Linked DNA regions of Rattus norvegicus. The protein of the gene in region 7 purifies or fractionates together with the protein of the main gene of each other region. This does not show direct contact. Links are inferred from orthologs where the notes say so. Each region holds a gene or a part of one and is shown on either strand. Other genes may lie near its edges.

Region 1 (4,228 bases), on a different chromosome or scaffold from region 7:
ACTTAAACGGCAACAATAACCTGGCTGGGAACCAAGACAGAGCAATGTTCTGTCTTTACAAGTCTGACTAGCGATCCTCATTTACAACCTCAGGTAAAAAGAGCCCTCACTTAGGAACACTAGCAAATTAGGTTCACTCTAAAGCAGAAAAATACTCTCTACCCCACCAAGAAGATACAAGATATATACTGCATTCTATCTCTGAAATACAATCCAAATATTTTATTACCAATTTTTAAAAAGTTATACAGTAACCAGAAGGCATCATATTGCTGAGTTCCATATTTAACCACTGAGTCACCTCTCTAGCCCTGAGTTCTGTATTTAAATAATAACAACCACTCTTCAACTTGAGATTTTGCCTTGATATATAAAATTATATATATATATATTTTTTTTCCTCCATAGTACTGTCACTGGTGAATATTAGGAGTTTTTTTCTTTTCTTTTCATTTTGTTTTTTAAAACTGTGTCTTCCTCTGTAGCCAGCCCAGGTTGGCTTCAAATTCTCCATCTTCCTGCCTCAGGGTCCCCATTCCTCAGGCTAGAAAGTATAGCAATTACATACAGTAAGGCATAGTGGCGCAGGCCTTTGATCCCAGCACTGAGGAGGCAGAGGCAGGCAGATCTGAGTTCAAGGCTATCCTGGTCTACAAAGAGTTTCTGTACACAGAGAAACCCTGTCTTAAAGCACCAGAAATTTAAAAAAGAAGAAGAAAGAAGAGCTAATACGTACTATTTTAAAGTTCCATTCATAGCATACTCCTTCTTTGGTGTGTAGTTTCAAGTCTTAAAAATGTGCAAGCCCTCAGAGCCCCTTAAAAATTATCTTTATGTCTTAAGGACCAGTAGAATCAAAGGGACTTGTGTGTGTATGTGTGTGTGTGTGTGTGTGTGTGTGTGTGTGTGTGTGTGTGTGTACAAACATGCAAAAGACAGGAAATATAAAGGAATAAAAAGCCTACCATTTTGAATATTCTTTGTACTAAAGTTCCAAAAACCATTTGAGATACTAAAATAAATTAGTAACATTTTATGTGATAACAAACGTTATAGATTTGCCCGTTAGGCAGTCTCTCGGTTGTCCTTTATAATCTCTCCCTCTCGTTTATTTGTATACATGTTCTCTTCATATTAATGTTCTAAACTTACCTTTAGGGCATTTTCGGAGGCAGCAACAAAATAGGCAGCAGAAATCTGAGCACATGACCTAGGTGCTTACATTTCAATCTAGTAAATTCTCTGTAAGGGTTTTAAAATGAGAAAACAAGAATGACCACTGCCAAAAACCAAGCAGCAGATAGCTAAACATACCCAAGCAATACTTTGTTCTAAAATTCCTGACTGTGCCACTATTGTCAAGGCGATACATTGTACATTTTTATAAGTTCACCTAGAACACCAGAGACATAGCAAATACTATGTATCACTTTATAACAACTCCAGTGTCCATCCATTTTGTCACAAACACACACACACAAAACCCCATAGGAAACTATATACTTTGTTTCAGGGGCTAATATTGCTTTTATACAGTTTCTGCACTGTTCCCAGTCACTTTTTCCAGGAAAACCAAACCCAATTAGTTTCAGTCCTCCAGTTCACCTTCTGCTACTAAGCCATTATCAGTTAGGTAACTCTTGAAGCTTTCCTGATGGAGGAATAGAGAAAAAAAAAATGTACATGGACATACCAGTAAATTGTGGTTTAATTAAAAGCAGCATCATTCAGAATTAACAAGCAATTAACATGGAATTGAAGAATTCCTATGAGAGTAAGGAAGGCAAGGAACTACAAAAAGGTCTCCAAGCCTCAGAGCAGAGTAAGTGACACAGTATACCAAAAGATAATGCAAAACACGGAAACACTCTGACCGGGTTCCAGAAGACATTTCTGGAGTACGGAAGTTATTGAGGTGTTAAGGATCAGGCACGGGCAATGCTTCTGTTTTTGCTAGGAAACTAGGATCTAAGAAAGCTTACATTCCCAGGCAACCACCCTGAAAATAAAGCATTACTTAATGAGGTAGGGGCCAGGAGTAAACAATGGGGGAAGGGAGGTCTGGCTCTTTACCTTTGGAGAGGATGCTTGTCCAAAGCACTCTGCTTATTGCTCCTCTGGTGGGTGGCCAGACCCCTTCTGCTCGGGAGTGTCTTCCAACCAGCTCAAACCTGGAAAACAGAAACCAATCAGTGGTGCAGTGATCCAGGATTGAGGAGAGGGCTCTGAGGATGGGGGAGCTAAGAAAGGGCTGGAGGGAAGCAAGGGCAGGCAGGCTGGAGCAGGGCTTCTCCCCCCAACCCCCACCCACCCCGCCAGCCCCTTCCCCTCGAAGGAGGAAGAAACTGACTTTACCTGTGTCCTCAGCTGCAGCTCCTCTCTCTCCTTTCAGCCTCCTCCACATTCACCAACTTCTCCATTGAAGAAACACCCCAGGCAGGGCCGGACACCGTGTTCCTGATCCTCCTCAGTGCTTCACGGCCCCAGCCCGGTGAGCATCCAGATAGTCGATCAGGCTGGGGGTGGCGGTCTTGGCCTCGGAGCAGCCTCCGGGAAGGGGTGCTGGGAGGAAGTGCCGGCTCGGAGGGGTGGGGGGGCAGTCCCGGTCCAGGGGCTCAGACCAAGGGTCTGCTGCGCGCCGGGCCGGAGGCTTTCAGCTACCGAGGGACTCAAGAGGTCTGGGGACAGAGAGACACCAATCGTACCAGGTCCGAAGTGTCAGCAGCGGGGTGTCCCGACAGGGGGCTTTCGGGATGCACTTTGCACTGGGCCACCCCCGCCCCCTCCTTCCAGCACTTTGGGGTCACTGGGATGGGACCAAGCCTTCGACAACCAATCAGCTGCCGCACTGGAGCCTGCGCTCCAAGCCGTAAACCAGATCCGCGGTGGGTGGGGGTTGGGGTAGGGGGTGGGGGCGACTTGGTTGGTTGGTTGCTTCCTTCTCCTCACCCAGGGGCCCCCACCCCCTGGCTGTCGTAAAGCTGCCCGCGGATTCGCGACAGTTAGAGGAGGCGGGCTGGTAGAGGCTAGGACTCGTCTCCGATTGGTCGCTCTCACTTCGTCCCTCCGCTTCCCCGCGGCGGTTTTCGAGGCTCCACCCCCAGCCTGGAGACTCGAAGCGGTTGCTAAGAGACACTGTACTACGAGTGGGGCTTCTACGCCTGCTGAGGGAGGGGCCGGAGAGGCCTTCCGTGGAGTACGGTGGCCCGGAGTGGGCAGCTATGGGTGCGAGTGGCCGGGCGATGGCTGAGTGGCCGGGCCGGATGGCAGCCAGGTAACCCTGAGCCCAGGTTGAGCTGGGTAGCTGGAGAGACGTGTGGGTGGCAGGTTGAGCAGTGGGCAAAGCGACAGGGCCGAGGGCAGGCGAGGAGGGCCCCTACTGGCCGCTGCTCCTTGGCGCTTCTTGGAAGCGTGTGGTGCATCTGTCGGTCTCTGAGACCCGGTTAGCCTCCAGGCTGTCTGCGCCTCGCCCAACTTGCGAGAGAGCACGCTCTTTGGGATCGCCAGGCGGGTTCTAGGGCTTTCCTGCCAGGATAGCGACCCTCGCGGTTTCTTGTGAATGAAAAGAACCGGGAAAAATGCAAAAACACTGATACATTGTTTAAATTGTTTAAATACATTGATTATTTTAGCAAGTGTTTGCTGGGTTGACACTACTCTAGTTGTTGGAGAGACTTTGTGAACTTTTTTTTGTTTTTGCTTTTATCATAACAAGAGAAGATGAAACTGCAAAATGATTAGGGGAGAAAAACACAAAGTAATGGAATACGGTTTGTCTAGGATGTAGTGGACTCTTAGATTGTTAGCGAGGTCTGTCAGAGAATGACATTTGCACACTGTGAATGACAAAAAACTAGCCCAACAAAGATCTGAGGGAAGACCTTACACAGAGTTAGTCAGAAGTGACTTTTCCACAGGTGTCACCTCTTATGTGGACAACATAAGTTCACTAATTCCTAGGAAAAGTCAGTCAGGAATGGGGGTGTGGGACCAAAATTGAAATATCTTGAAGATGATATAGTTTTGTCAGGGACCACTGGGCCAAGCTGTCTAGTGCTGAATATATACAATGTTTCTAGGGGCTAGTAAATTCCCAGTAAAAAGGTAAAAGTAGACGAAAAAGAACTGAGTTGATTTCATTAGAAAAGAGGTTAGTGAAAGCCTGGGTATCTTCTAATTGCAGAGTGTTTAGGGGCCTCAGAGAAAGCATAATTATTAGCTTGTGGGT
Region 2 (3,572 bases), on a different chromosome or scaffold from region 7:
CCCCACCAAGAAAATGCCTTACAGCCAGATCTTATGGTGGCATTTTCTCAATTAAGGTTCCTTCCTTTCAGGCAGCTCTAAGAACTCTAGTTTGTGGGTCAAGTTGACGCAAGACTAGGCAGCACAGTGTATCCGTGCCATCACATTCGTGTGGAGTTCCGAAGAAATCGTTAACACCCCTGGGACTGGAACTCACGGACGTCTGTGAGCTTCAATGTGGCTGTGAGAACCTGAACTGGGGCCTCCACAAGAGCAGCCTGTGCTCTTACTGCCGAGCCATTGCAGCAGGCTCGCATCAGAGTTTTAAAACGTTAAAATTAGCTGGGTGTGACTCATACCTTTATAATCCTAGCATTTGAAAGTAGAGCTAAGAGGAACAGGAATTCAAGGCCAGCTCTTGCCTACAGAGCCACTTCTGTCCTAGATGGGCTACAAGAAACCATTTGAAACCCATCCAAACAACAATAACTACAGCAACAACGTTAAAATTAGGCTGGGCACAGGGTACACACCTTTAATGCCAACACTCAGGAGGCAGAGGCAGGCTGATCAGTGTGAGTTCAACCTAGTCTACAGAGGGAGTTCTAGGCCCTCTCTGCTCTCCCCACCTCTCTCTCTCTCTCTCTCTCTCTCTCTCTCTCTCTCTCTCTCTCTCACACACACACACACACACACACACACACACACACACACACACACACATTTAACTTACTGGTAGCATTATGTGATTTTTAAACTGTTATCAATAGACATCCAAGGAGGTCAAACTTCAATGACAATCTCTCCATGATAACGCAGATAGTAGTCTAACTTCACTCAGAACTAACCCTCAAAGCACACATCCTCTAGACAACGTGCCCACTAGTAGTCCCATTACTCAGGAGGCTGAAGCAGGAGGATGAATGGTTACCGCTTCAGCCACATAGGGAGACAGGCAGGGAACAATCTCAATCCCTACGTTCTCCTAAACGGGAGCAGTAGGTCAGGAAGGGTGTGAAGGCCTTTTCCTAATCTCAGGATCGACTTGCTCAGGCAGCGCAAAGGTCTCCAGTGGAGAAGTCTCCACACACGCAGAATCCAAGGCGATGACGTCATCAAAGGGTTAATTCTAGGCTGGGATGGGGGGAGGGCGGGGCACGCAGCTGTCAGGTGGCTTCGGAAAAATAAACTGCTGGGAGTCCTGGGAGGGACAAGAGATTACCCACCCAGAGTGTGCCCCACAAAACATGAGCGCTTGTCCACATTTGAAGTCATCACACACTCCTTGCCTGAATTCTTTGCAGACGGTGGGTTCCCAGGACGGGAAATGATGTGGCGGGCGTGGTCCGGGAGGTGACGATAGGGTTAATCGTCTCCAGAGCCCAGGGGCGGAGCGCAGGCGGGCGTCCTACGGCCCCGCTGGAGCCGGAAGCGGTTGCTGGTCAGGGGCGCTTCCACCCTTCCCTATCTGTGCTTCCACTGAGGTCTCTGAGGGGTAGGGGGAGCCCAGTGAGGTGCGGGATAGGGGCCGGGCCTTAGAGACCTCAAGGGGACGGTCCACGGTAAGGTCTGAGGGAGAAAAGTCGTGAAAAACTTGGGGGGAAAGGCGCGACGCAGATGGGGTGAAAGTGATGGGCCTGGGCGGGTTGGGGGACCAAGGGAAGATGAGGCTGGTTCGCATACACCGGTGAACGGATGGGAGCCTCAGGGAAAGATGCTACGCCTAACAGTCCTTTCTTTCTCCACGCCACTCCAGGGGACGATCCGGAGCTCAACTTTCAAAAGACAGACGCCCCAACAAGCCTGTTTTGAGAAGTTCTTCAGCTGCTCACCTCATGGGCCAGACGGCCCTGGCAAGGGGCAGCAGCAGCACCCCTAGCTCGCACGCTCTGTACTCTGACTTATCTCCTCCCGAGGGCTTGGAGGAGCTCCTGTCCGCACCCCCTCCTGACCTAGGGGCCCAACGACACCACGGCTGGAACCCCAAGGATTGCTCCGAGAACATCGATGTCAAGGAAGGGGGACTGTGCTTTGAGCGGCGCCCTGTGGCCCAGAGCACTGATGGAGTCCGGGGAAAGAGGGGCTATTCGAGAGGCCTGCATGCCTGGGAGATCAGCTGGCCCCTGGAGCAAAGGGGAACACACGCCGTGGTGGGCGTGGCCACCGCCCTCGCCCCGCTGCAGGCTGACCACTACGCGGCGCTTTTGGGCAGCAACAGCGAGTCCTGGGGCTGGGATATTGGGAGGGGAAAATTGTATCATCAGAGTAAGGGCCTTGAGGCCCCCCAGTACCCAGCCGGACCTCAGGGTGAGCAGCTAGTGGTGCCAGAGAGACTGTTGGTGGTTCTGGACATGGAGGAGGGAACTCTGGGCTACTCTATTGGGGGCACGTACCTGGGACCAGCCTTCCGTGGACTGAAGGGGAGGACCCTTTATCCCTCTGTAAGTGCTGTTTGGGGACAGTGCCAGGTCCGCATCCGCTACCTGGGCGAAAGAAGAGGTGAGATCTGGACTAGGTGTGTGTGGGGGGCAGGGAGGATACCACTTTTGACAATGGGTTGGGGTGGAAACTCGTGGTCGGACCACAGGAAATGGGCTTCAAGTCACTTAGGTGGCCTTGGCTCTAGCTTCACTTCCAGAAATTCAGAGCTTTTGGGTCTCCCTTAGCTAGGGTGGAGGTGGAGAGAGAGTTTGAGGATGTCTGGCGGGAGTTGCTTGCTTACCCTGTCTTCCTTCTCTGTCTCAGCGGAGGAACCACAATCCCTTCTGCACCTGAGCCGCCTGTGTGTGCGCCATGCTCTGGGGGACACCCGGCTGGGTCAAATATCCAGTCTGCCATTGCCCCCTGCCATGAAACGCTATCTACTCTACAAATGACCCTGTGGCACAGGGTGTGCTGGCACCCTACCGTGGGGACAGGTGGAGAGGCACTGCTGGCCTAGACAACTTAAAAGCTGGAGCTGAGGGAAGGAGGCTGGACCCCTTCACTACCCCTTTTCACAGGAACAAGACATAGAAATGATACTATAGGCTGTGGCAGCTTTGGACAAAAGGTTTTTGAAGTAAAAAAAAAATGAGATATATTGTCACAGAACGTGTTTCATTATTGGTTCTTTTTACATTCCACTTGCCCCCCCCCCTCGAGGCTAGAGCCCCCTCACTGTCTTAAAATTATGACAAACCATGTTTAGGCCCAGGTGTTTATTTCCCTTATATGTAGGATGGTTCACAAACACAATACAAGGGCTTCGGCACTACAGGGAGGGGATATCCCAGGCCTCTAAGAGTAAAAGGATCTTGGCCTTAATGTACACTGAAATTCAGACCCGAAGACTCTGAATCTCTGCATCACACATCCAGTAGGGCTTGGGAGTGAAGCTAGAGCCAAGGCCATCTAAGTGACAGGCCAAAGTGACAAGAAGCCTACTTCCTGTGGTCCAGCTGTGAGTTTCCATCCCAAACCAATGGAAGGCCGTTTTCACCCATTAGGGCCCAAAGGGACAGCTAGTTCTACTCCTTCCCCTCCTCAGGAAGCCATCTTGGTGACATATTTGATTTTACCCATTGTAAGTGGTAAAGGGATTGGCCTGGTCC
Region 3 (4,255 bases), on a different chromosome or scaffold from region 7:
GCCTACATGGACGGCTGTGTACCACTTTTGTGCCTAATGCCCACAGAGTCCAGAAGAGGGCGACAGAGCCCCGTGGATTGAACCTGGGCTGCGCCATCTCTCCGGAAACCCGCCACCCTCCATCCCACTCCTTCCCTTTGGGAGATAGGGCCTCCCTACGTAGTCCTGACTGGCTAAGAACAGGACCTAGGTCCTTTCCAGAGCAGCCAGTGTTCTTAATTGCTGGGCATCTCTCCAGCCCCTTCTACAGATTTTTCCCCATTATTCCCTAAACAATTACCAACTTGATATTTACTCTGTTGGGTGCAGAGACATCTAGAACTGATATAGAGGAGCTGTGTAACCATTCCATGTAAGATCCTTGAATGCCCACTGGGTTTGGTGTCCTGGGCATCCCAGAACCAAGCTTGTGATCTCAACACTTGAGAAGTGGCGGCAGGAAGCTCAGGAGTACAATGGCAGCCAGCCTCAGCTATTCTGAGAGTTCAAGGCCAGCCCAAGCTATATGAGATCCTGTCTTTATTTTTTTAATATTATTTATTACATATAAGTACACCGTCAGTCTCTTCAGACACACCAGAAGAGGGCATCAGATCTCATTACAGATGGTTGTGAGCCACCATGTGGTTGCTGGGATTTGAACTCAGGACCTCTGGAAGAGTGGTCGGTGCTCTTAACCACTGAGCCATCTCTCCAGCCCCAGATCCTGTCTTTAAAACAAACAAGAAACTTTGTTCCGTGCCAGTAACTCTGTGGCAGATGGCAGGTGCCAAGCAGAGAGACCACAAGCCCCCACAAAGGATTGGAGCCATGGCTATGATGATGCAGCCTCAGGACCACTGACACCTACCCATAACTGGCCTTTCTAGAATCATCAGGGCCTTGCTGCAGGACTCAAAGTCGCAGCCACTCAAATTTGTGTAGGGGGAAGCTACCTGGTACAATTCTTTCTGTTGCGTCTCTGCTGCCTTCCCACTCAGGGTCTAGGGAAGTGATATTATGCCAATTTTACAGACCAGGACAGGAAGGGTCACCGAGTTCCTCCAGGAAAAGCGGGAAAAGTGGGCACCCTGTTTAGCCAGGGGGTGAAGGGACAGAGAATAATGAATTGTCCCCAGTATTTGTGGGGAAGAGTTAGGGTGCAAGGTCCTCATTGCGCCATTCAGTTCAGAGTAGAGAGACTTCCTTAGGAAGTGGCCAAAATCAAATAGGCTGCAGAAAGCAGTGTCCGGGCTCCGAACTGGGCCTATGTCACCTCGGGCAGGAGCAGGTCAGTAGCGGGGCCACACTCCCCCTTGGAGCTTGGACGCCCTGCAGCGGCCTCGCGGGGAATTTCAGGGCGGGGCGGAGCCGGGGCAGTGATGATAGTCGCGAGGTCCTCCCCGGCGGTAGGGGGCACTGTAATGCACATGAGCCCTCACAGGCCCTCAGGACAGGAAGTAGGGGTGGTAGGATAACTTCCGGTGCGGAACTGAGGCCTGGGAGGACGACTGCTCACCGGCGCGGGGTCTGAACCGGTAGATCGGGAGGTGGTGGCGAGTGGGTATCCGGACGCGCGGCCGACGCCATGCCGTTCCTGCACGGCTTCCGCAGGATCATCTTCGAGTACCAGCCCCTGGTGGACGCCATCCTGGGTGCCCTGGGCATCCAGGATCTGGAGCGGCAGGAGCCTCTGGATGAGTGAGTCGCTGCGGTCCCCTGTGGTTGTCGCGGCGGGAGCGGGAGCTGCGTGGCTGCGAGCTCGAGCGCCAGCCTGAGGTGGGCTCGCAGCGTCTTGCAGGGCAGAGGGCCAGGGCCCCGGAGCCGCTCCCTGTGCATGGATGCCGGAGGAGAGGTCCTGGCTGGGACCGACAGCGCTTTTTGCAGACAGCAGGCCTCTTCGAGAGTCTCTGGGGGAAGCAAGCCGGTGTGGTCCGTGTGCCCTGTGCAGACTTCCTTGGGTACTAGGAGCGCTACGCCTTCGGAGTGCTTGTGCCACCGAGACAGACCAGCACCCAGACCAGCACCGTGGGGTGGGATGCAGGGAGTAGGGCGGGGCAAAGGAATAGCACTGGGAGAGTCATGAGCCGGAATTGCAGACTTTCAGTCTCAACAAGGATGTCTTTTCTAAACCACACTAGCTCGCTCTTCTGCGGCCTACTCTGTAAATGTAGTGCCAGGCGGTTTCCAGAACTCGGAGGCGGGGCAGCAGGGCTGCACAAGGCGCTACTGCCCTCCCTTGGCGGAAACTAGCATATTCAAGAAGGCCGCCCTAGATAAGCGTTTGGTCAGATCTTGGATCCCACCTGTTGCAAGAGAAGAGGTCTGGTGGGTGAGATTAGGGAGAAGAGCAACTGAGGAGCATTGGGACAGGAAGGTGACTCTGAAGGTGGTGTCTGAGCCATTGTCCAGAGCTGGGGCAATGTATGGAGTAGTGTCCAGGCCCAAGTAGCACTTAGTAGGTAGTTTTGTCTAGGAAGGGTGAGAGCTTTAGGGCCACCCTCGTGGTGGTATGAGAGAGGACGGGACAGAGCCAGGCCTTTGACAGCAAGCTGAAGGATGGCTTTGAAGTCACTTCACACATTTGACCAAGAAAGAGTTGTGTCCCACAGAGCATGGGCAGTTTGTGTGGGTGATTGTGGAAGGGCACACAGGCTAGGGCCACTGGTCCCCAGGAGTTCCCACTTGGTCTTTTCTGCCTCTTGGTGCAGTTACGCTTCCAGTGAGGAGAGCCGGATCCTGGTCCTTACGGAGCTGCTGGAGCAGAAGGCCCACTCTCCTTTCTACCAGGAAGGTGTGAGCAATGCTCTGCTGAAGATGGCCGAGCTGGGCCTGACCCGGGCAGCTGCGGTCCTCCTGCAGAGTGGGGCCAACCTCAACTTTGAAGGTCAGCAGCGGCCTGAGAATGGGGGTGGGGGCGAGCAGGGCTAGGCAGTCAGCCCTGGCCTCTGCTTCCCCTCTTGTCTTTGGGGTGACTTCCCATGTTCTTTTCCTTTGGGTGGCTTTCTGGGGGCTCTTAGCACCTCTCCTCCCACATCTTCCAGATTAATCCTTCTGCTGTGGAGAAAGTACACTGGCAGTGCCCAGAGCTAAGGGAAGGTGATTTTCTCTGAGCTGTCCTGCAGGTGTTGCTCTGGTCCTAGGGGTGGGGAGATAAGCCACACTAGGCATCAGTGACGGCAGGCTGCCTAGGTTCTTTAAGCGTCAGGTCAGGGATGATGAAGTGTCAGCCACCTGCCTTGTCTCTGGCTGTCACCCCAGGAGGTAGGAGACAGGTGGGGCTGCCAGTGCTGACCCACACGCATGCTTTTGTGTCTTTCATTGGAGAACATGCTCAGAGGATGTAGGAAACTTGGGATCCTGCAAACTACAGATGGGGGGGGGGCTGGGGGAGGGTGTTCCAAAGCCCATCCACATGGTCAAATGGCCTGGCTGTGAGACACATTTGGAAGGCTGAGGCAGAGGGATCTCTGGTGACCTTGAGCCCAAACCAGGTCAAGGCTACCGGGGCTGGCCATGCTGCTGAGCTTGAGCACTTTGCGTTCTCCTCAGGACAGTCCTGAGGAAACTTCATCTTCACACCTGAGGTGGGGGTGCCAGGGAGAGTCTCTGAGGCTAGGTCCTTCGAGAACAGACTAACCCGAACTTCCTTGCCTTCAGACCCTGTCACCTACTACACAGCCCTGCACATTGCTGTCCTGAGAAACCAGCCTGACATGGTGGAGCTGCTGGTGCGCCACGGGGCTGATATCAACAGGAGGGACCGGGTAAGGGTCAGCTCCAATCTTGGGCATGATTAGTAGGTTCACCAGCGAAAGCCACCCCAGGCAACATGGCTGCTATCCCCTTTGGTTCAGATCCACGAGAGCAGCCCCTTGGATCTGGCCAGTGAGGAACCTGAACGCCTGCCCTGCCTGCAGCGCCTCTTGGATCTTGGAGCAGATGTCAACGCAGCAGACAAGAATGGTAAGAGATGGCTCAGAGGTTAAGAGCACTGGCTGTTCTTCCAGAGGTCCTGAGTTCAAGTCCCAGCATCCACACATGGCAGATCACAACTGTCTTTAACCGTGTTTCCAGGAGATCTGATGATCTCATCTGGTACAGACATACCTCATGTAGGCAAAGCACTCATACGTAAAGTAAGAAGAGTGCTGTGGTGGGAGGCTGGCCGTCCCAGGGACTGGGTACCTGATAAAAGTTCGGGAAGGACAGGCAGGTGTCTGGGTGCTGGCCCCAGTAGGTGGCATAGCCACAGCTGGCACCCAGGCAGAGGGTG
Region 4 (4,071 bases), on a different chromosome or scaffold from region 7:
GCAGATAGAACTTGAGACCAGCCTAGTCTACAAAGCCAGTTCCAGGACAGCAAGGGCTACTCAGAAAAATCCTGTCTGGAAAAACCCTATCTCAATTACCCATTCTAAACTGGCAACCGTATCTTGTAATTAGGGCTTATTATCATCAACTCTTTTTGAAAGGATAATGGTCCTTCTGGGAGGCAGCAGTCACCTTGTTCTGAGATCAACCTGTTCTGAGCCAAACCAGCCATGTCTGAATCACAGCACAGCCAAGACTCTTAGAACAATGTTCACAAATGCTTTTATAATTTCCTTCCACTGTTTTTCTTTCTTTCTTTCTTTCTTTCTTTCTTTCTTTCTTTCTTTCTTTCTTTCTTTCTTTTCTTTTTCGGAGCTCGGGACCGAACCCAGGCCTTGCGCTTGCTAGGCAAGCGCTCTACCACTGAGCTAAATCCCCAACCCCGCTTTTTCTTTTCTATACAGAAATATATGCTTCTTAACAGAGAGGAGGGTACCAGTGTAAGAGGTGCTTCCACTTCAGATTGCAAAAAGATGTAGGTAGCAGAGATGCTAAACTACAATTTATCTAAATAACTTAGTTCCTACTGGTGAGATGCTCCTGAGCAGAGAGAAGGCCTTGTTGATGGTCCACTGCTTCACCGCGGGAAAAAGACCAAAGACAGGTAGGCCCCTATCATGTGCTCTCTGCCGACAAACACGCAGGCACATGATGCACACACACTGACATGTATGGACAAAAACCCGTAGAGACCTCGAGGCGCCCACTAGCAGACACCTTTAGAGGTGCACTTATCCATGTGTCCACTTGGTGCTGAAACTCACAACTGCCTGTAACTTTAGTTACATCCGATGGCTACATGGATACACGCACATGTAACCTAAGGTCTCACACTAGCATTCGGAGCTCTGTGTAGCTGCTCTTGTATGCTCTTGTAACCAGGCAGGGACTCAAACACTTCCCACACCAATCTGGAGCCAGCTCCTGTTATGCACTAATACAGGGGAGGGAGTAAACACTAGCCACGCCCCTCATCGCCATGCCTGTCTTCTATTGGTTGCAGAAGCAGACCTCTCCCGCCTTCTGTTTCTTCTGGCTCGGCCTTAGGACCTCCATTGGCTTAGGCAACAAGTCCTCCCAAGAGTGGCGGTGGGCGTGGTGCGGAGGCGTTAAGAAATAGATGGGCGAGCTTGCTAACCAATGAGCATGTGTATACACCTCAGCAACTGAGATTCGCCAATGGCGAGGTAAGGTGGGCGGGGCTCTGCAGCTGTCAAGCGCCCCCGGCCGGTGGGGCGTTCGAGGGACCCGCGGCGCTCGGGGACCCTCCGCCGCCTGCGCGCAGCCTGGGGCCGGCATGGGCGGGGTGGCTGGGCCGGCATGATGAGCTCCTTGGGCAGCCCGGTGCGGGCCTACGATTTTTTACTTAAGTTCCTGTTGGTGGGCGACAGCGACGTGGGCAAGGGAGAGATCCTGGCCAGCTTGCAGGACGGAGCAGCCGAATCTCCTTACGGCCACCCGGCGGGTGAGCGCGGCTATAGCACCCGGAGTTGCAGCGCTGGGGTGTCGGTGCGAGCGGCCTTTCCAGCGTGGGTTTAGTCTCCAGAGCGGCTGGGTAGAGCTAGGTCCCGCATGCTGGGGAAGACTGCGCTCTGTGGGCGGAGTCCGCAAAGCGGCTCAGGGTGGGCGTTAAGGGAGATCGCAGGTGCGAGCGACGTGTTTGGGAGAAGTGCGTGGGATTACGGGAGGCGTGGGCAGAGAGGCAGCGGACCATGGAGCAGAGGAGACAACAGTCTCGGAGGCTATAACCTTTGGTGCGTGGGACTGCAAGCAGAGAGTAGAAAGACTAGACTCCAGCCTTTGATTCCAAGCACCAAGCTCTGTGTCCTAATGGACAGGACTTCCAGGAGGAGGAGTCTAAGTGACCCTGTAGAGTTGGCTAGGGTGTAGGAAGGAACCCAGTTAAAAGGCTAGAGTCCAGGAGACTGGACACAGGTGAGACCAAAGTGTCTCAGGCTCCAGGGCAGCGAGCTGTGTGTGTCCTAGAAGCTTGAGGTTTGAGACCTTGCACCCCAGAGGAAGGAGACAGAGTGGCAGAATCCTGAGCATAACATCCAAGAATAGTCACGTAGTGATCCAACCCTCAGACTGTGGCTGTGTACAGACTTCTATGACTCCCTATTGTGTCATTTGTGGGGGTTTCAACCCACCTTTCTAATACAGACCCTGTCCAGATGCCTGCCACCCTCTGTTCTCCGGACTTAAAGACTGCTTCCTGCATCTCCAGTCCCCTGGCAATGCCACAAGGTCTAGCAAGGGCCTAAAACTGTGTGGTCCAATGCCAGTAACTGCCAGCCTGGACAGCACAGATTTAGACCTTTCCTTTAGGGTGTAGCTCTGTTGGACAAGAGAGCAAGGGCGTGTACACAGTCGTGTCTCCAGGTCCCGGTGCTCAATGACGCTCGGGCTTCAGCAGAGGCAAAAGAGTAAAATGTTTAACAAGCTCCAAAAGGGGAGGTGAGTCTCACAGTAGATGACTGATGTGGGCAGAGAGAAAGGTGTTAATGACGTGTGAACAGACTTGCTACTGATTGGCTTGAGCAAGGCCACTGCACTTCTGTTGCTTTCCTATGTATTCTGTTGTCAACATGGTGTAAGAGATCGCAGGGGACTGATGCCGTACTTGTGGCCTTTGATTTACTACCTATTTCTTCAAGGGCTAAGAAAAGACCATGAGAAGAGCAGGCCAGGTATGGGTCTCACACCTGTAAACATGGCATTCGAGAAGCAGAGGGGGGAAAATTGCTGTGAGGTTGAGGCTAGCCTGGGCTACAATATAAGACCCTGTCTGGGGAAAACAAAACCGAATGGAAGGGAGTAAAATAGGGAGGAGAGATAAAGAGCAGGAAAATAAACAAGTAGAGGAGAGACAAACATTAAGAAGCTTGGGTCATCATTTGTGACGTGTCACGGGGAGGGTCTCTCCGTGCTCTGGTAGTGAGGTGTTCACAGCTTCATGCTCCACTCTCTTCATCCATGTCCGGGTTTTGTAACCCACTTTGCAATTTCCATACTGCAGAGGTTCGAAACACTAATTCTGTTTTGTAGATATTAGATCAGTGCTCTGTACTCCTGCAGTATTTAAATGAATTCAGCGCTAGCTAACTCTTTTTTTTTTTTTTTTTTTTTTTTGGTTCTTTTTTTCAGAGCTGGGGACCGAACCCAGGGCCTTGCGCTTCCTAGGCAAGCGCTCTACCACTGAGCTAAATCCCCAACCCCTGGCTAACTCTTTTAACTATAGCTACTCCTGAGTTCCTTACAATGCTGCTTCACCTTTCAATTTAAAAACCTTTTCAAGTTGCTTGCTCTGAAAACACATTGTCTTCGGCTGCACACAGTGTTCTTAGACTATACTGCTCTTTTCCCCTCAATACCTGGTAACTCGTTCACTGTCTTTCTGGTATCTTATGTTGTCATGGTGAAAACATCATGTCATCTGACTTTCTAAATGGGCGATTTGCCTTTTCTTTAGGAATCTTTTGAAGACTGTTTTTCCTTGCCTTACCTTGCTCAATCAGGCCATGACTCAAAAATTTTGATATATATTCTGAATTCCTAGATAAAAGAATACTTTCTTAGTTTTGAGGAATTTGCTTTAGGTCCACAAAATATCTCCCATTGCTTTGTGTTAATTTCTCATTTCTGTTACGAAAAATGACTGCAAACTGGCTTAAAACAACAGAAATTTACTCTTTACACGAAAAATGACTGCAAACTGGCTTAAAACAACAGAAATTTACTCTTTACACGGTTTGGTGTAAGTAGGACCTCATTTCTACATGGAACTCTAGGAAAGCACCTTCTTGTCTTTTCCAACCTTCAGAACCTCCCTGCACTCCAGGGTTCTTGGCCCCTTTCTTTGTCTTCAGAGACATTGGTAGCCAGTGATCTTTCTCAGGTCCCTTCTCTCTAGCATGAGCTCTCTTACCTCCTTTTTTTTTTTTTTTCCACTTCAGAGGACACAGTGATAATTTTTGTCCACATCAACAATCTGGGACAGTATCTCCTTT
Region 5 (4,260 bases), on a different chromosome or scaffold from region 7:
TGGTGGTGTACTTTCCCAGCACCTGGGAAGCAAAGGCAGGTGGACCTCAATGCGCTAAGTCGAGACTCACTTACATATGAGCCCCGGGCCAGCCAAGGGCTACATAAATAAGATCCTGTCTCTATTTGCACCATCCCCTCACCTCCCCCAAAAAAACTTTGAAAAAGTACTCACTTCCTATTTCTTCTGAGATAGGATAGAAAAGGAAATTATGGAGATGTGAGGAGAAAGAGGAGCCCTTTACCCAGGAACTTGGTTGAAGTCACTTGCCAACAGAGAAACGGGGATCCCAGCACGATTAACTGCTCAAAGCCTTCTTCCTTCCACACTTCCACACCTGCAATTTTCCAGGACTCTTACTAGAAACTTTTACAGGAAAAGGACACGTACAAGGCTCATGCAGCCAGTGGCTCCTAGCTTTATTTTGTCAGATTATAATTCCATCCAAGGTATGTCTGAAGCCACCCCATAATCTCATACACACACACACACACACACACACACACACACACCCCTTTTGAGATCTAAGTTGAGAACCATCAAAATGGTGTATATGGTAGCTCCATAAGGGTTGTGGAGCTATTCTTGGGCATGCCTTTCTTAGTTCCTTTCTTCTAAGTCTTGTGGTCAGAGTCTAATGTTAAACTATTTTAAATAAAACCTCAACATTGTTTCCATTAGTCTTAACAGTTTTTCTTTTTCTTTTTTTTCTGAGTCAAAACCATGAGTCTCGTTAGGCCTGAGTTTTGGTCACAATGAAGTTCTCAGTCTAGGGTGACAGCATGGAGTTTTATCTCTGTTCCCTCACCAGTGACACTCCCTTTTCTGGCAGCAAACTGGCACCTACTAATTCCACTCTGTTTCTACAAAGTTGACTCCTTTAGTGACCTCCTTTAGAATCATGCAGTCTTTATTCTTTATTGTGGGCTTAATTCACTGAGCATAGGGTCCTCCAGGATTGGCCCTGCTGTAACCTAGGACAGTGGTCTTTTAAAGGCTATGTGGATAACCACGGCAACGCATTTTGAGGTGTATTTATCTGATCATGCACATCTGGGTGGTTTTACACTTGTGGCATCCCAGTTTGGGATGGAGCAGAGCCATAAGGTTGGGCCACCTCTGGCTCTTTGCCTTGCAGCGTCATTGGTGTCACCTGTCCCGCATGCCAGTGGTGTTTGGTATCAAGACCAAACACCACTGCAGGAATCTCCCCGCTTTCCAATAAACACCCTCAGAGCCCGTGGCTCTGTTCCAGATTGTCTCACACAACTCCCCAGACCTGTGCAACTGATCTAATCTGGGCAGGAGGATTTGCTGGGCACCTATAGTCGCTAGCTCCCAGCTGGTGTGCCATGACCACACAAAGATGCAGACAAGTCACAGCCACGGTGCTGGGGACTGCGGCCTCGCCTCCGCCTCACCGGACGGTGAAGCAGCGCTTCTGTCTCCTTAAGGCGCAGCCTCCCCAGTCCACTGGGGTCCTCCCCCTGCAAGGTACCTTCCCTAAGCCGTGTAGGGGAGAATGAAAGGACCCGAAAGCGTCCATGCTTAAGAACTGTTCGAAAAAGCAATGCGCACAGTGTGACTGATGTAAAATCGGGAGTGCTCGGGGGGAAAGCCACCAGGACAACACGCCTTGGCCAAGTTACAAACACTGTTGGCTCCATGGAGACATTCTGGGCTGCCTTCACCTAACACAACTTTACAAGTTACTTGGAAGGCGCCGTTTGGATTCTCGAAGAAAGGACAGCAGCGTAGGCCAACGTCACTCCACTACCCTCAGCCGCTGCCGGACCGGCCCCGCCCACGTCCCGGCCTCCGTGGGCGGGGACAAAATCTACCAACCAGGAGTTCCTGAGGCATTCGAAGACGCCTCCACCTATAGAGGAGAGGCGTTTCCCCAAATCCCGGCGCTTCCTAGTAGACGCAGTTTTGTCAACCTTCCCTGATTAGCAATCAAGTCTATTAGCCAGACCGGAAGTGGAGGCCCCTGCACCCTGCGCGCAGAGCAGGAAGTACAGAAGGGAGGCGCATACTCGGCGGAAGCCGAGCTCCAGACACGCCCACCTGCCGGAAACGCCGGAGGTGTTTCTCTGACAGGGTTGCTCTTTGACAGGCTCGCTGAGGAGGCGGACAGGCGACGGGGTCTGGGCGGAGGCTGAGGACCAAGTAGGCATGGCGGAGGGCGGGAGCCCCGATGGGCGGGCCGGCCCAGGGCCCGCAGGTAACGTACGCGGCTAGGGATGGTGGGGAAGGTATTGCGTCTCCGGTCAGTCAGAGTGGCCCTCGGGCGTCCCGGGCTCGGGCTTCCGTCCTCGCGGGCCAGGGTCAATAAATGTGTACGTCAGGCTTCGCGCGACCCCAGGCGCGCACCCCCACCCTTGGTCTCTCGTGGACAGCCCTCCTACGGGGTTTCTTTCTGGTGGAGCTAGCCTTGTAACCGCCACCCTGTTAGCCGATCCCAGTCTGCGATGACCCTAGCTCTGCCATGGGGTACGGATTTTCTTCCAGGTATGAGCACAGTGGTCAGTAAAGGCCCTCAGAGGTCAGCCTTCGTCGGACAGGTTCCCTTTCCCCATCCTGCCAGTCAGCACATACCCGCTCGGTAGCCACTGGACAAACGTCCTCCGCCCCACCCCCACCCACCTTAAGGACAATGCTGTCCCCAGAGAGCTTGCCAGTGACACAGCTCTTACAGGGGCGCTTGATCCACCTGCAGCGAAAGGGTGACACTTGTCACCTGACTTAAAGAATCTCCACTTTGCCGTGTTGCTTCTATGGAACTAACAATTCCTGGGAGAATTTCCTGGTACAAGATCCACCTTGGGGTCTTTCTGAACCTGCCACATGTGCCCATCTCTGGTTTTGGAGAAGCACATGTTCTGTTCAAGGAGCTCTCCTAGGTATGCAAAAATCTCAGAAAGCCACAATGTTGACAGTCTTTTGTCATTCTTCCGTCCATCAATTCAACGAACATTTGTTGATGATGTATTATTTATTGGCTTGGCTCACCTGGGGCTGTGAAAAAACAAGACAAGGCCTCTACCACCAAGAGCTATGTTTGGCATTGAATTTGATCTCAGGAACAGACAAGATCTTAGAGTGGATTGACCTTTCATTCAGGAATGAGAGGTGGAAGAGAAGTGGTTGATTAAAGGACAGCTATTTCTTAACACATGAAAGGGTCCTGTGGAAGAAAAAGTGGTTTTACACACACCCGCCCGCCCTGGTCCTTTTAGTGCCTTTTTGTTGGTTTGTGTTTCCAGCTTGGGTGGAGGCGCGGGTCTTGAGTGCTATCTTGTAGGTATGGCCTTTGACTCTAGGACTTGGGGAGATTCTGAAGGTCCATTGGCGGCCTGGGCTGGGAGCATAGAGGAGAGGTGACCAAAGGGAGGTCCAGAGACTTGCTCAAGTCCTCTGATGCAGCCCACTTTCCTGACAGTTACCCCATGCATCTGAATCTTCCCCAACTTTGGCTTTGACTTTTATACCTGTTGGTAACTGCGCTGTGGTTACAGTAATTGAAGGAGGACCTGGAAGCGCTGGACAGAGCCCTTTCCAGGCTTGATGCATCTTGTTGGTCTGCTGTGCATCTGGTTATGGGATCAAGTGAACCACATAGGTGTTTGTGGACATTGTGCTGCCTCTAGCCTTGGTCTTAGCCCAGGCAACGGACTTTCAGAACCTGGAGGGCAAGGATACTTAATCATCACCACCGTGTACCTCTAGGAGAGTCTGTGGGGGCGCAAAGGATATTGTATTCGAATATGAAACAACTTCAGCATCAAGAAAAGACCTGTGTGTGAAGGGATATGCTTTTGAGCTATGCTTGGTAGCATGCTAGGACATCACTACAGGGTGGGGGACTTGAATCTAAGCAGTTAGAATTTGTGCTGTCTTTATAGCACCTATTGGTGCAATGTTTAACCTTTTCAGTTAGTTTGGGCTGTGATGTGAGCAAAGATGCAAGGTCTCCGAGTAGGTGGTTAGTTGTACAACTCTCCACAGACTACATGTCTTAGGTGGATTCTGTGCCTGTTTGCTACAGCTAAGCTATGTATACTAAGATTAAGATTTTCCTGGAGAATTGATTCTTTTCTCAATTGTTTTTTTGAGAAAACAATTTTGTTTTTGTTTTTGTTTTTGTTTTTGTTTTCTTTCTAGTCTGGTACGAGTTTTGTTATCTAGTATGGTAGAGTTCCTGCCACCTGTTATTCTTACTAAAACAACAAAAGCTATTTCCCTTATGTATATCTACAA
Region 6 (4,272 bases), on a different chromosome or scaffold from region 7:
GCTATGGTGGACTGGTATACATAAAATAAATAAATCTTTAAATAAATGTTTGTTTCTCCCACTAATATTAAAAAAGCATTTTAAACATAAGAAAATGAAAAATACTGGGCCAGTGGGATTTCAGCAGCCAGAAGAAGGGTCCTGTTGCCAAATCTTCCTTTTAAGGGCTCCCAGTTGCCCCAGATTTCTAAATAGGAGGCAACTCTCTTCATTCCATAATTAGAAAGGTTTCTAAAATACAAAATGCAGATTCACAGCTGACCTAACAGATTGAGTGAGACCCACCTTCTGAAAGTGTCACGAAAGAGAATAGATCTTTAAGGGATAAGGAGTCGGGTGAGGCATAGAAGGCAAAAGATAGTAAAATTAAAAATACAGTGTTGGTAGAAGAGTGATTACAATTGAAAGAACACCATGCTATTCAGGCAGGTGGCTCTCGGTGAGTTCCAGGCCAACCTGGTCTACACGGAGTTCCAAGCTACATAGTGAGACCTAGGCTCAAAACCAGAAACCAAAACATTTGTTAGCACTCGTAAAATCTCAAGCACAGAGTTGTAGAACCCGATGGACTCTTACTCAGACTTCTGATAGAATTAGCGGTGGGATAATTTTAAAACAGGAACTGGCTAGGCATGGTTTGAAATCCCAGCATTCATGAGGCAGGAGAATTGAGTTTGAGACCAGCCTACACTACATAGAGAAGACCCTGTCTGTAACAAATGAACACACACAAAACCGTAAAATGGTTTTAACGTTTGCCGATGCTCAGAAATAGGAAACAGTGCCTAACAGTTGGGAAGAGTGTCTACTGTTCTTAGCCTTGCCTCAAGGAAAGATGCGATCTTGTCTATTTTTAAATTTCAACCACGCATTCTCTACACCCAGCAACGCCTTCTTTGTAACAGTGGAAAACCGAGGGATGGCTGAAGTTTCCGTTCTTAGCACATCAATTTAACCGTGTGTGTTGGGGGGGGGGGGCGCTAAAGGCTGAGACTGTGCCTGTGTGACTTAAAATGACGCTATGGATTCGTTTCTCCCTGAAAGCAACTGGAGGGGGTACTGACGTGACAGCAGCAGCACCGCCGAAGACACTTGAATGACTGTTTCCAGGGGAGCCACGTTGCTCATAGTACGAGTCGCTGTGTGCTCTGCAGCGGCTCTGTCTGGGTAGGAGAAGGCGTGATGTCCACTTCCGGCCCCCGCTGACAAGATCGGGCGTGAGGACTCTGGAGGAGGTGAGTGGTCCAGGCTGGGCGCCCAGGCGGAGGCGGGCGACGCGGGAGGTGCTAGAGTCTGGGGAGTCGAGCGGCGCGTGGGAGGCTCGAGACCGCACCCCGCTCCCGGGCCCGCGCGCGCGCGCGCACCGGGCAGCGCCACCCGCCGCGGGTCCGACCGGGGAGGCGCCGGGTCACGTGGCGCGGTCACGTGCTCCCCTAGCCCGACTGGCGGTCGCGGCGGCGGCCGAGAGAGGCGGAGTCTCGGCCGAGACGCGGGGGGTGGGGGGGAGGTGGCGGCGGCGGCGGCGGCGGCGGCGGCGGCGCCGAGGGCTGCCGGAGGCGGAGGCGGAGAGGCACCGGGCCGCCGCCACGGCCGCTAAGGAGGTGAGGCTGGGATGGGCGGCCGCGAGGGCCCGGGCGGCGGGGGCCGGGCAGTGGGCACGGCAGGGGCGGCGGGCGCGGGGCTCCTCAGCGGACCCTTAGCTCGGGCGGCCGGCGCCTAGCTAGCTCGTTCGCCTTTTGTTCCGGCGTGCGAGGAACTGGGCCGACCGAGGAGCTCGGGCGTGCGTGTGTAAATCAGAAGGCGTTTGGCTCGGAGCCATGTTTTTTTTCCCCCCTTCTCCTTAATTGTGCAGACAGAAAAATCCCTTCCACCGGTTTTCCCGGGGAGACGGGCTGCGCCGGCCCGGCCTCCCCACAGTCCCTCGTTTGCTCTGTCGGCCTCCGGGTCCCGGGGCGGCTCTCTTTCCTTTTTCTCTTTCCTGCTCTTCCCACCTTCAGCCAAGCGGGGCCAGCCAGCGGGTGAGCGGGGTGTCTGCAAAGCAGCCCGGTCACCTGTCGTAGCAGCTGCATGGAAATCCCGGCGCTTTTGCTGTCTGGAGCCTGTGCGGTTTCCTCTGGCAAATCACGGAGATTCCGCTCCCAGAACCAACCCTTCCTCTTTTGCTCTGCACTCTCTTAACCCAGCTCCTGATGCTGATGTGAAGTTTCACCGTTTGGGGACAATTAGCAAGGAGGTGTCCACTTCTTTCTTTCAGAGGCACCGCTTGCTTGGGAAGGTGAGAGCCATCTAGCTTTGTGGCTTGAATTGGATGTGGAGGGGTTGACAGTCGTCAGTAAGATTCATGTCACTTAGGGACCTGTTCCTTCTACCTGCCAACCTTCCCATGTCACTCTACTCCCTCTGGGGATAATCGTTTTCCCTTGGGGAGGGAACTGTTTTCAGGGTTTCTTTACTTGGGGACTCTGTTTTTTTTAAAAAAAATTCTTTTATTTAGATGGGGTCTTTTAGTCCTGGCTGGCCTGGGACTCACTGTGTAGACTGGGCTGGCCTAGTACAGAGAAAGCCAGGCCCACCTCTTTATTTTACACTGGTAGAGCATCTTAAGGGTATTTCCTTACGTTTTTTGTAGCAGGTTTTAGGAGGGGCAGTTGTTCCTAAGGTTTAGAGGAATGTAAAAACCATCCTGAGATTCTCTTATTTTTAGCCTGTGGGTTCTTTTGTTTGTTTTGTTTTTGTTTTGTTTTAATATCTGGAGTCACCACTCCTTGGTGGGAGTTTAGTTCTTGCAGGAAACCCAGAGGGATTGTGCCATATTCCTGGAGAGTTCCAATTTGGGATTGATGTGAAATGCCTGGGCCCATGCACATAGCCGTGGCAAAAGACCCACAGGGAGACTCCTAGCCTTCAGGTGGGCAGCTGGGAGCTGTATAGTGACAGCCACGTTACAAAAGGGAGAGTCACATGTGTCCTTTCTTGTGATCTGCTGGAGAAATGATTGTATGAGCACATTACGAATAGCCAAGTCTCGTCTTTACTTTCTTAATCAAATAGCCATTTGTGTGATGACAGACTCACTAGACAATGAACATTTCTTGAAAACATCGAAGAGCTCTGTGGAAGCAACAGTGTTTTCAGCGATGGGGGAGGTGTTGCTTTCCTGACTTGGATATATGCTGTGCTGAGTTACAGGAAGTCACTTAAGGGAAAATATTTTTAATGCTTGTGGAGGGTTCAGGCATAGAGGGTGAGTGGAAAGCCAGCCTTACCACTTGTTCTGAGGACTAGCGGTCTATTTACTGCATGTATCCTAAGTAACTTAGAAACGATGAATGTGGATCATACTGGACTTTATGGTTTTCACAGGGAGACGTAAGAATTGAATTTGGTTATTCATAACTTTTTTTCCTCCACTAAAGCTTCAAATGGAATTTTAACCCTTAAAAGGATGGGTGATGGATGAAACCAGCTTATTTATTTTAGGATGAGTGTTTCCTTCTTTGCTTCCTTTCATACTCCTCTCTTTTTCTTTCTAGCTGTATTTTATGTGTTTGTGCCTGAGCCTATGTATGTTCTGTCTGAGGACAGAAAAGGGTGACACATGCTTGGAACCAAACCCAGGTCCCCCGCAAGAGCAGAGGTGCTCTTGATATGTTCACCCTCTTTATAGCCTCGTGAAGAGAGGGTTTTAAAAAATGTATTACTATTCTTGTGAAGAGAGTTTTAAATTGAGCCATCCACTGTTGATGTTGAGGTCCTAAGTCATGGATAGTGGAGACTGCAACCTTTCTGCATCCAGATTTCAGCTTGCTCTGATGGTTTATAGAACCAAAGACTTTTTTCCGAGTGTGCTACAGGTTGCATTCAGGAAGGTATGGGATGGCTCCTGTGAACTTGGGTAAGGTAGGTGGTAATCAGTGGCTTCATGCCTTAGACCACATTCGTAGCATTCATATTTCTCCTGTTCCCTGTGGAGGGCAAAGGTGAAGACAGTGGGAGTGACTGGTTGGGCATGTATTGGCAAAGCACAGTTTAAAACCTCAGGATGGAATGCTGTGGTACAGATACTGCATGCCTTCCTGTTTAGCATCTATGAGGTCTCCTCACTGTCCCAAGACTATTTGCTTGCACCGAGGCTGTTAGAAATGCATAGAATCTGAGATCACAATGTCAGATTTCTTTTAGTTTGGCTGGGGTAATGTTAATTTAGTTAGTAAATTTTAGCATAATTTAAATATTTTATGTTAAAGTATATATAAATAAAAGCTGGAATAC
Region 7 (4,088 bases):
AGACTCTGAGGCATGAGCCGGAACTTGGTCATGCACTAATAAAGGGACTTATGTATTTTTTGTTTGGCTGGTTTTGGTTTTGGTTTTGAAGACAAGGCTTCTCTGTGTAGCTTTGGTTGCCTGAAACGTGACAAAGATCCACCTGCCGCTGTCTCCCAAGTGCTGGGAGTAAGGTGTACACCACCATGGCCCCACTGCCTCACATACTTCTAATTGGCTTAACTGGAGTCGTCGTGTAAATCTTTCTTCAGTGGGAATTTTAGCAGCAGGAGTGGCTGCAAGAGGGTTTCCACCACCTTTCCCAGGTGATAAAAACAACCTGAAGAATGGCGGTTGACGAGAGTTGAGCCTTCGCAGATCCTAAAAGCCAGGCCTAGGTTGGTGCACACCTTGAATCAGAGCACTCCAGAAGCAGAGGCAGGCAGACCTCTGTGATCCAAAGCCAGCCTAGTCTACATAATGAGTTCTAAGCCAGTTGGGGCTACACAGTGAGAACCCGTCTCAGAACCACAACCAGAAGCAGAGTGTGGTGGCGCATACCTTTAATCTCGCCACTGGGGAGGCACGGGCATGGGGTAGGCCAGGCTGAGACCAGAGCTAATTTCAGAACAGCCAAGGTTCCACAAGGAAATCCTGCCTCAAAAAACCAAACCAAAAACAAAACAAAACGAAAAATAACAACAAAAAAGGTTAAGGTCCTAATACATTTTAAGCTTAAAGAAACCCAAGATGTAATGTCTGGAGAGACCGCTCAGTGGTTAAGAGAACAGTCTGTTTTTCTCAAAGATCAGGGTTCAGTTCCCAGCACCCACATAACAGATTACAACTGTCTGTAATTCCAGTTCCAAGGAATCTGACACCTCACAGCAATGCACATAAAATAAAGTTAAAATATTAAAAAAAAAAATCTCTGAATTCAAGGCCAACCATTTTGTACCAAGCAGCCATTTTGTAAGATACAGAGGTTACAGTAAAGAGATTTCTGTCCCTACTCAGATAGTGCACATTTGGGAAAAAAAGAGACAAATGGAGGCAGGGACAAGGTGATTTTTTGAAAGCTCCGAGTTTAATACAATAGGACTCCAGACTGCTCGCTCACTGTTCCTTGCCTGTCATGCAGTAACTGGCCTGTGTCCACTACAAGAGCTTGTACAGGCCTCGCCCAGCCCCTCATGACGTCACTGTCCCGCGCCAGCCAATCAGCCTCGCCTGGCTCCGGCTGAGCGACTGTTCCTTGAGGAGGGTCTGTGGCTTGTGTTGTGACCCTGCTGAGCCACCATACCTCCCCGCCTCCGCGCCCAACGTCCGCGTAGCCGTTCTGCGCCGCCGCCATGGCCGACGTGGAGGACGGCGAGGAACCCTGCGTCCTTTCCTCGCATTCTGGGAGCGCAGGCTCCAAGTCGGGAGGCGACAAGATGTTCTCCCTCAAGAAGTGGAACGCGGTAGCCATGTGGAGCTGGGACGTTGAGTGCGATACCTGCGCCATCTGCAGGGTCCAGGTGATGGGTAAGCGATGCACGCGAAGTCGGGACCGCTGGGCGGGCCTGGCCGGCGAATGCTGGACCGGGCCTCCAGACACCGGATAGTTCCTGCAGGAAGTGGGCGTGACCGGGTTCCGGGAGAGGAACCTCGGGGTTTTCCTGGGCAGCCTAGCGGCCAGCAAATCCCACAGCGGATCCCTCTCGTGGATCTGAGGGTTGGGATGTTTAATGTTTTTGAGATGCTCTCACGTTCCTCAGGCTGGATTAGAGCTTGCCTATTTATCCGAGGTTGACTTTGAACCCTTGAGGCTCCTGCCTGCACCTCCCAAATTCTGGAAATTGCGAGCCTACGCCACTATCTGGATTCTGTCATAACCGAAATGATGCTCAGTCTGTTTGCTTCCGGATGCATTCGGTGGTGCTACTTGGCTGGCTTTTAAATTTTATTTTGACAAGACGGATCAGAACTTTCCTGTGTTGAAGCGAGGGCCAAGGTTTGCTTGATTCAGAAACTTCATCTTGCACCCTTCCCATCCTAAGACACCATTTCGTAGAGAAAACACTACCCTGCTATTTTGTGCCTTTTCGAAGAACTTCCTTTCATAGTCGTCTGTTTTAGTATTTTGAACGAAAATATCAGACCAAAATGAAACGTATCAAGACAATCTAGTTGAGTTTTGCACAGTTAAGAGCTCAGTCCACCTTGAAAAGAACCCTGTCTCTGTCTTTTTTTTCCAGACAGGGTTTATTTGTGTAGCCCTGGCTATTCTGGAACTCTGTAGACCAGGCTGGGATGCACCTGCCTTTGTCTCCTTAGTGCTGGGTTTAAAAGTGTGTGCCACCATTGCCAGACTCTTCCTCTTTTTTAGAAAGGGTCTATCTTGTGTAGCCAGGGTGTCTCCTGATGCGTCCTCCTCCCAAGTGCTACAATTTACAGAAATGAACCAGCAGGCCTAAGGCATGCTGGGGTTTGAGCTTCATCTCGGTACACTACCAACTGAGCTGCATAACCAGCCTGTCTTCCAGTGTGTTGGTTGTACCTGTAATAACAACACTCTGAAGACTGAAGCTGGAGGGACAGCAGTGCATTTGAGGTCAGGCTCGAACAAAACCAAAGCCAGGGAGGGACTGGAGAGATGTTTCCACAGTTAGGAGCACCACAACCACAGTTTGATGTTCCACACCCACCTGGCAGCTCATCACCCTCTAACTCCTGTTCCAATAACTCCAGCACCCCGTTATGACCCTTGAGGGCATTAGGCACATTTGGTATGCAAACACAGATGCAGGTAGCATAAACGTAATTTTAGATTACTGTGAGAATGCTTTACAAGGTGATGGGGGTGTTGATTGAAATAGATTTCTGTAGTTTGCAAATGTGCAATCAAGAGATTCTGAAGTCTTTGTACTCGCTTTTCAGGAAGTTTTCAACACGGTTCCAAACTTTACTTGTTTACTGTGTAAACACTAGTTTCTAAATATCCGATTTGACTAAAACACTAAAATACAGCTGTTCCACCCTTCTCCCTTGCTTAGGAACTGGGCCATAATTTCCATTTCAGAGTTGAGTGTGGTGACTCATGTCTGAAATACCGGCAAATACCGGCACTCAGGAGGCTGAGGCAGGGGCATTACTTTTGTTCTTTTTCAACACAAGCTTTGCTTAGAAATTTTATTCCTACCAGGTGTAATGGTATCTTTCATCTCAGCACTCAGGCAAAGATAAGCAGATCTCTGTGTTAGAGGCCAGCCTGGTCGACACAGCTGAGGCTAAGTAGGGGGACCCTATCTTACAAACAAATAAATAATGAATAAACCTTAAATATCTTTAATTTAAAAAGAGAGACTTTTTTAAAAAAAGAAGAAGAAGAAGAAAGATTTATTATCTATAAGTACACAGTAGCTGTCTTCAGACACACCAAAAGAGCGCATCAGATCCCATTACAGATGGTTGTGAGCCACCATGTGGTTGCTGAGAATTGAACTCCGGACCTCTGGAAGAACAGTCAGTGCTCTTGATCATTGAGCTATCTCTCCAGCCCAAGAGAGACTTTCTTTTAGCTCTTTCTTAGTTTAGGATGAATCTTTCCAAAGGGAAGTTTTAGTATATGTGCTGCCGAAGCGAGCACCCAAAGGGAAGTTTTAAAAGGATTTTTTTCCTTGGAAGGGCTATTTTTTCCACAAATCTAAATAGTAAGAGATGTAGATCCTAAAGTAACCAATGAAATGTTACAGCACAGACAGGTGCTTAACGTAGGCCCAAGTTTGGGTTATAGATAACTCCTGGTCATGTTCGTGGGCTGTGAGAGCTTAGTGCCACTCAGTGGTCAGGTGACCACAGGGAATTAAATTAAGACTTGGTAGTCCTGATCCCTGGCATTGTTTGAAAGGTTATTGTTGTATGCTGTAGAAATACTGTCTCAGATTAGGAACATCATTCACAGAACTATTTCTTTGATCAAAGTGTGGCAAATCTCTAACTTGAGACAGAGGCAAGAGCATCTCAGCATGTTAATTCAAGAGCAGCCTTGTCTGTAGAAAATCCAGGCCAGGCAAGATAAAACAAAAGGGGGAAAAAGACTTAAAAAGAGACTTAGAAACATTTTA

Evidence for each region.
Region 1: the proteins of Rnf7 (region 7) and Asb7 purify together in Homo sapiens (co-immunoprecipitation; 4 studies listed by BioGRID and IntAct, with this or other methods). This does not show direct contact. The link is inferred for Rattus norvegicus from reciprocal best matches to the Homo sapiens genes RNF7 and ASB7.
Region 2: the proteins of Rnf7 (region 7) and Spsb2 purify together in Homo sapiens (co-immunoprecipitation; 3 studies listed by BioGRID and IntAct, with this or other methods). This does not show direct contact. The link is inferred for Rattus norvegicus from reciprocal best matches to the Homo sapiens genes RNF7 and SPSB2.
Region 3: the proteins of Rnf7 (region 7) and Asb6 purify together in Homo sapiens (co-immunoprecipitation; 4 studies listed by BioGRID and IntAct, counting the BioPlex papers as one, with this or other methods). This does not show direct contact. The link is inferred for Rattus norvegicus from reciprocal best matches to the Homo sapiens genes RNF7 and ASB6.
Region 4: the proteins of Rnf7 (region 7) and Rab40b purify together in Homo sapiens (affinity purification with mass spectrometry; 3 studies listed by BioGRID and IntAct, with this or other methods). This does not show direct contact. The link is inferred for Rattus norvegicus from reciprocal best matches to the Homo sapiens genes RNF7 and RAB40B.
Region 5: the proteins of Rnf7 (region 7) and Asb1 purify together in Homo sapiens (co-immunoprecipitation; 3 studies listed by BioGRID and IntAct, with this or other methods). This does not show direct contact. The link is inferred for Rattus norvegicus from reciprocal best matches to the Homo sapiens genes RNF7 and ASB1.
Region 6: the proteins of Rnf7 (region 7) and Tulp4 purify together in Homo sapiens (co-immunoprecipitation; 3 studies listed by BioGRID and IntAct, with this or other methods). This does not show direct contact. The link is inferred for Rattus norvegicus from reciprocal best matches to the Homo sapiens genes RNF7 and TULP4.

The regions. Positions count from the first base shown.
Region 1 is NC_086019.1:129,674,706-129,678,933, forward strand, and holds the start of Asb7 (ankyrin repeat and SOCS box protein 7), read right to left. Parts: upstream 2,801-4,228; 5' UTR 2,356-2,800; intron 2,172-2,355; 5' UTR 2,074-2,171; intron 1,243-2,073; exon of another isoform or gene 1,153-1,242; intron 1-1,152. UniProt on the Homo sapiens protein: Probable substrate-recognition component of a SCF-like ECS (Elongin-Cullin-SOCS-box protein) E3 ubiquitin-protein ligase complex which mediates the ubiquitination and subsequent proteasomal degradation of target proteins.
Region 2 is NC_086022.1:159,298,497-159,302,068, forward strand, and holds Spsb2 (SPRY domain-containing SOCS box protein 2), read left to right. Parts: upstream 1-1,377; 5' UTR 1,378-1,541; intron 1,542-1,735; 5' UTR 1,736-1,814; coding exon 1,815-2,478; coding exon of another isoform or gene 2,479-2,645; exon of another isoform or gene 2,646-2,724; coding exon 2,725-2,855; 3' UTR 2,856-3,072; downstream 3,073-3,572. UniProt on the Homo sapiens protein: Substrate recognition component of a SCF-like ECS (Elongin BC-CUL2/5-SOCS-box protein) E3 ubiquitin-protein ligase complex which mediates the ubiquitination and subsequent proteasomal degradation of target proteins.
Region 3 is NC_086021.1:34,510,234-34,514,488, reverse strand, and holds the start of Asb6 (ankyrin repeat and SOCS box protein 6), read left to right. Parts: upstream 1-1,455; 5' UTR 1,456-1,567; coding exon 1,568-1,680; exon of another isoform or gene 1,681-1,758; intron 1,759-2,690; coding exon 2,691-2,866; intron 2,867-3,639; coding exon 3,640-3,746; intron 3,747-3,836; coding exon 3,837-3,945; intron 3,946-4,255. UniProt on the Homo sapiens protein: Probable substrate-recognition component of a SCF-like ECS (Elongin-Cullin-SOCS-box protein) E3 ubiquitin-protein ligase complex which mediates the ubiquitination and subsequent proteasomal degradation of target proteins.
Region 4 is NC_086028.1:107,154,576-107,158,646, reverse strand, and holds the start of Rab40b (ras-related protein Rab-40B), read left to right. Parts: upstream 1-1,271; 5' UTR 1,272-1,381; coding exon 1,382-1,526; intron 1,527-4,071. UniProt on the Homo sapiens protein: RAB40B small GTPase acts as substrate-recognition components of the ECS(RAB40B) E3 ubiquitin ligase complex which mediates the ubiquitination of target proteins.
Region 5 is NC_086027.1:99,566,441-99,570,700, forward strand, and holds the start of Asb1 (ankyrin repeat and SOCS box protein 1), read left to right. Parts: upstream 1-1,460; 5' UTR 1,461-2,175; coding exon 2,176-2,224; coding exon of another isoform or gene 2,225-2,229; exon of another isoform or gene 2,230-2,471; coding exon of another isoform or gene 2,472-2,511; exon of another isoform or gene 2,512-2,847; coding exon of another isoform or gene 2,848-2,903; intron 2,904-4,260. UniProt on the Homo sapiens protein: Probable substrate-recognition component of a SCF-like ECS (Elongin-Cullin-SOCS-box protein) E3 ligase complex which mediates the ubiquitination and subsequent proteasomal degradation of target proteins.
Region 6 is NC_086019.1:49,086,414-49,090,685, forward strand, and holds the start of Tulp4 (tubby-related protein 4), read left to right. Parts: upstream 1-1,472; 5' UTR 1,473-1,601; intron 1,602-1,703; exon of another isoform or gene 1,704-2,275; intron 2,276-4,272. UniProt on the Homo sapiens protein: May be a substrate-recognition component of a SCF-like ECS (Elongin-Cullin-SOCS-box protein) E3 ubiquitin ligase complex which mediates the ubiquitination and subsequent proteasomal degradation of target proteins.
Region 7 is NC_086026.1:105,924,606-105,928,693, reverse strand, and holds the start of Rnf7 (RING-box protein 2), read left to right. Parts: upstream 1-1,288; 5' UTR 1,289-1,331; coding exon 1,332-1,506; intron 1,507-4,088. UniProt on the Homo sapiens protein: Catalytic component of multiple cullin-5-RING E3 ubiquitin-protein ligase complexes (ECS complexes), which mediate the ubiquitination and subsequent proteasomal degradation of target proteins.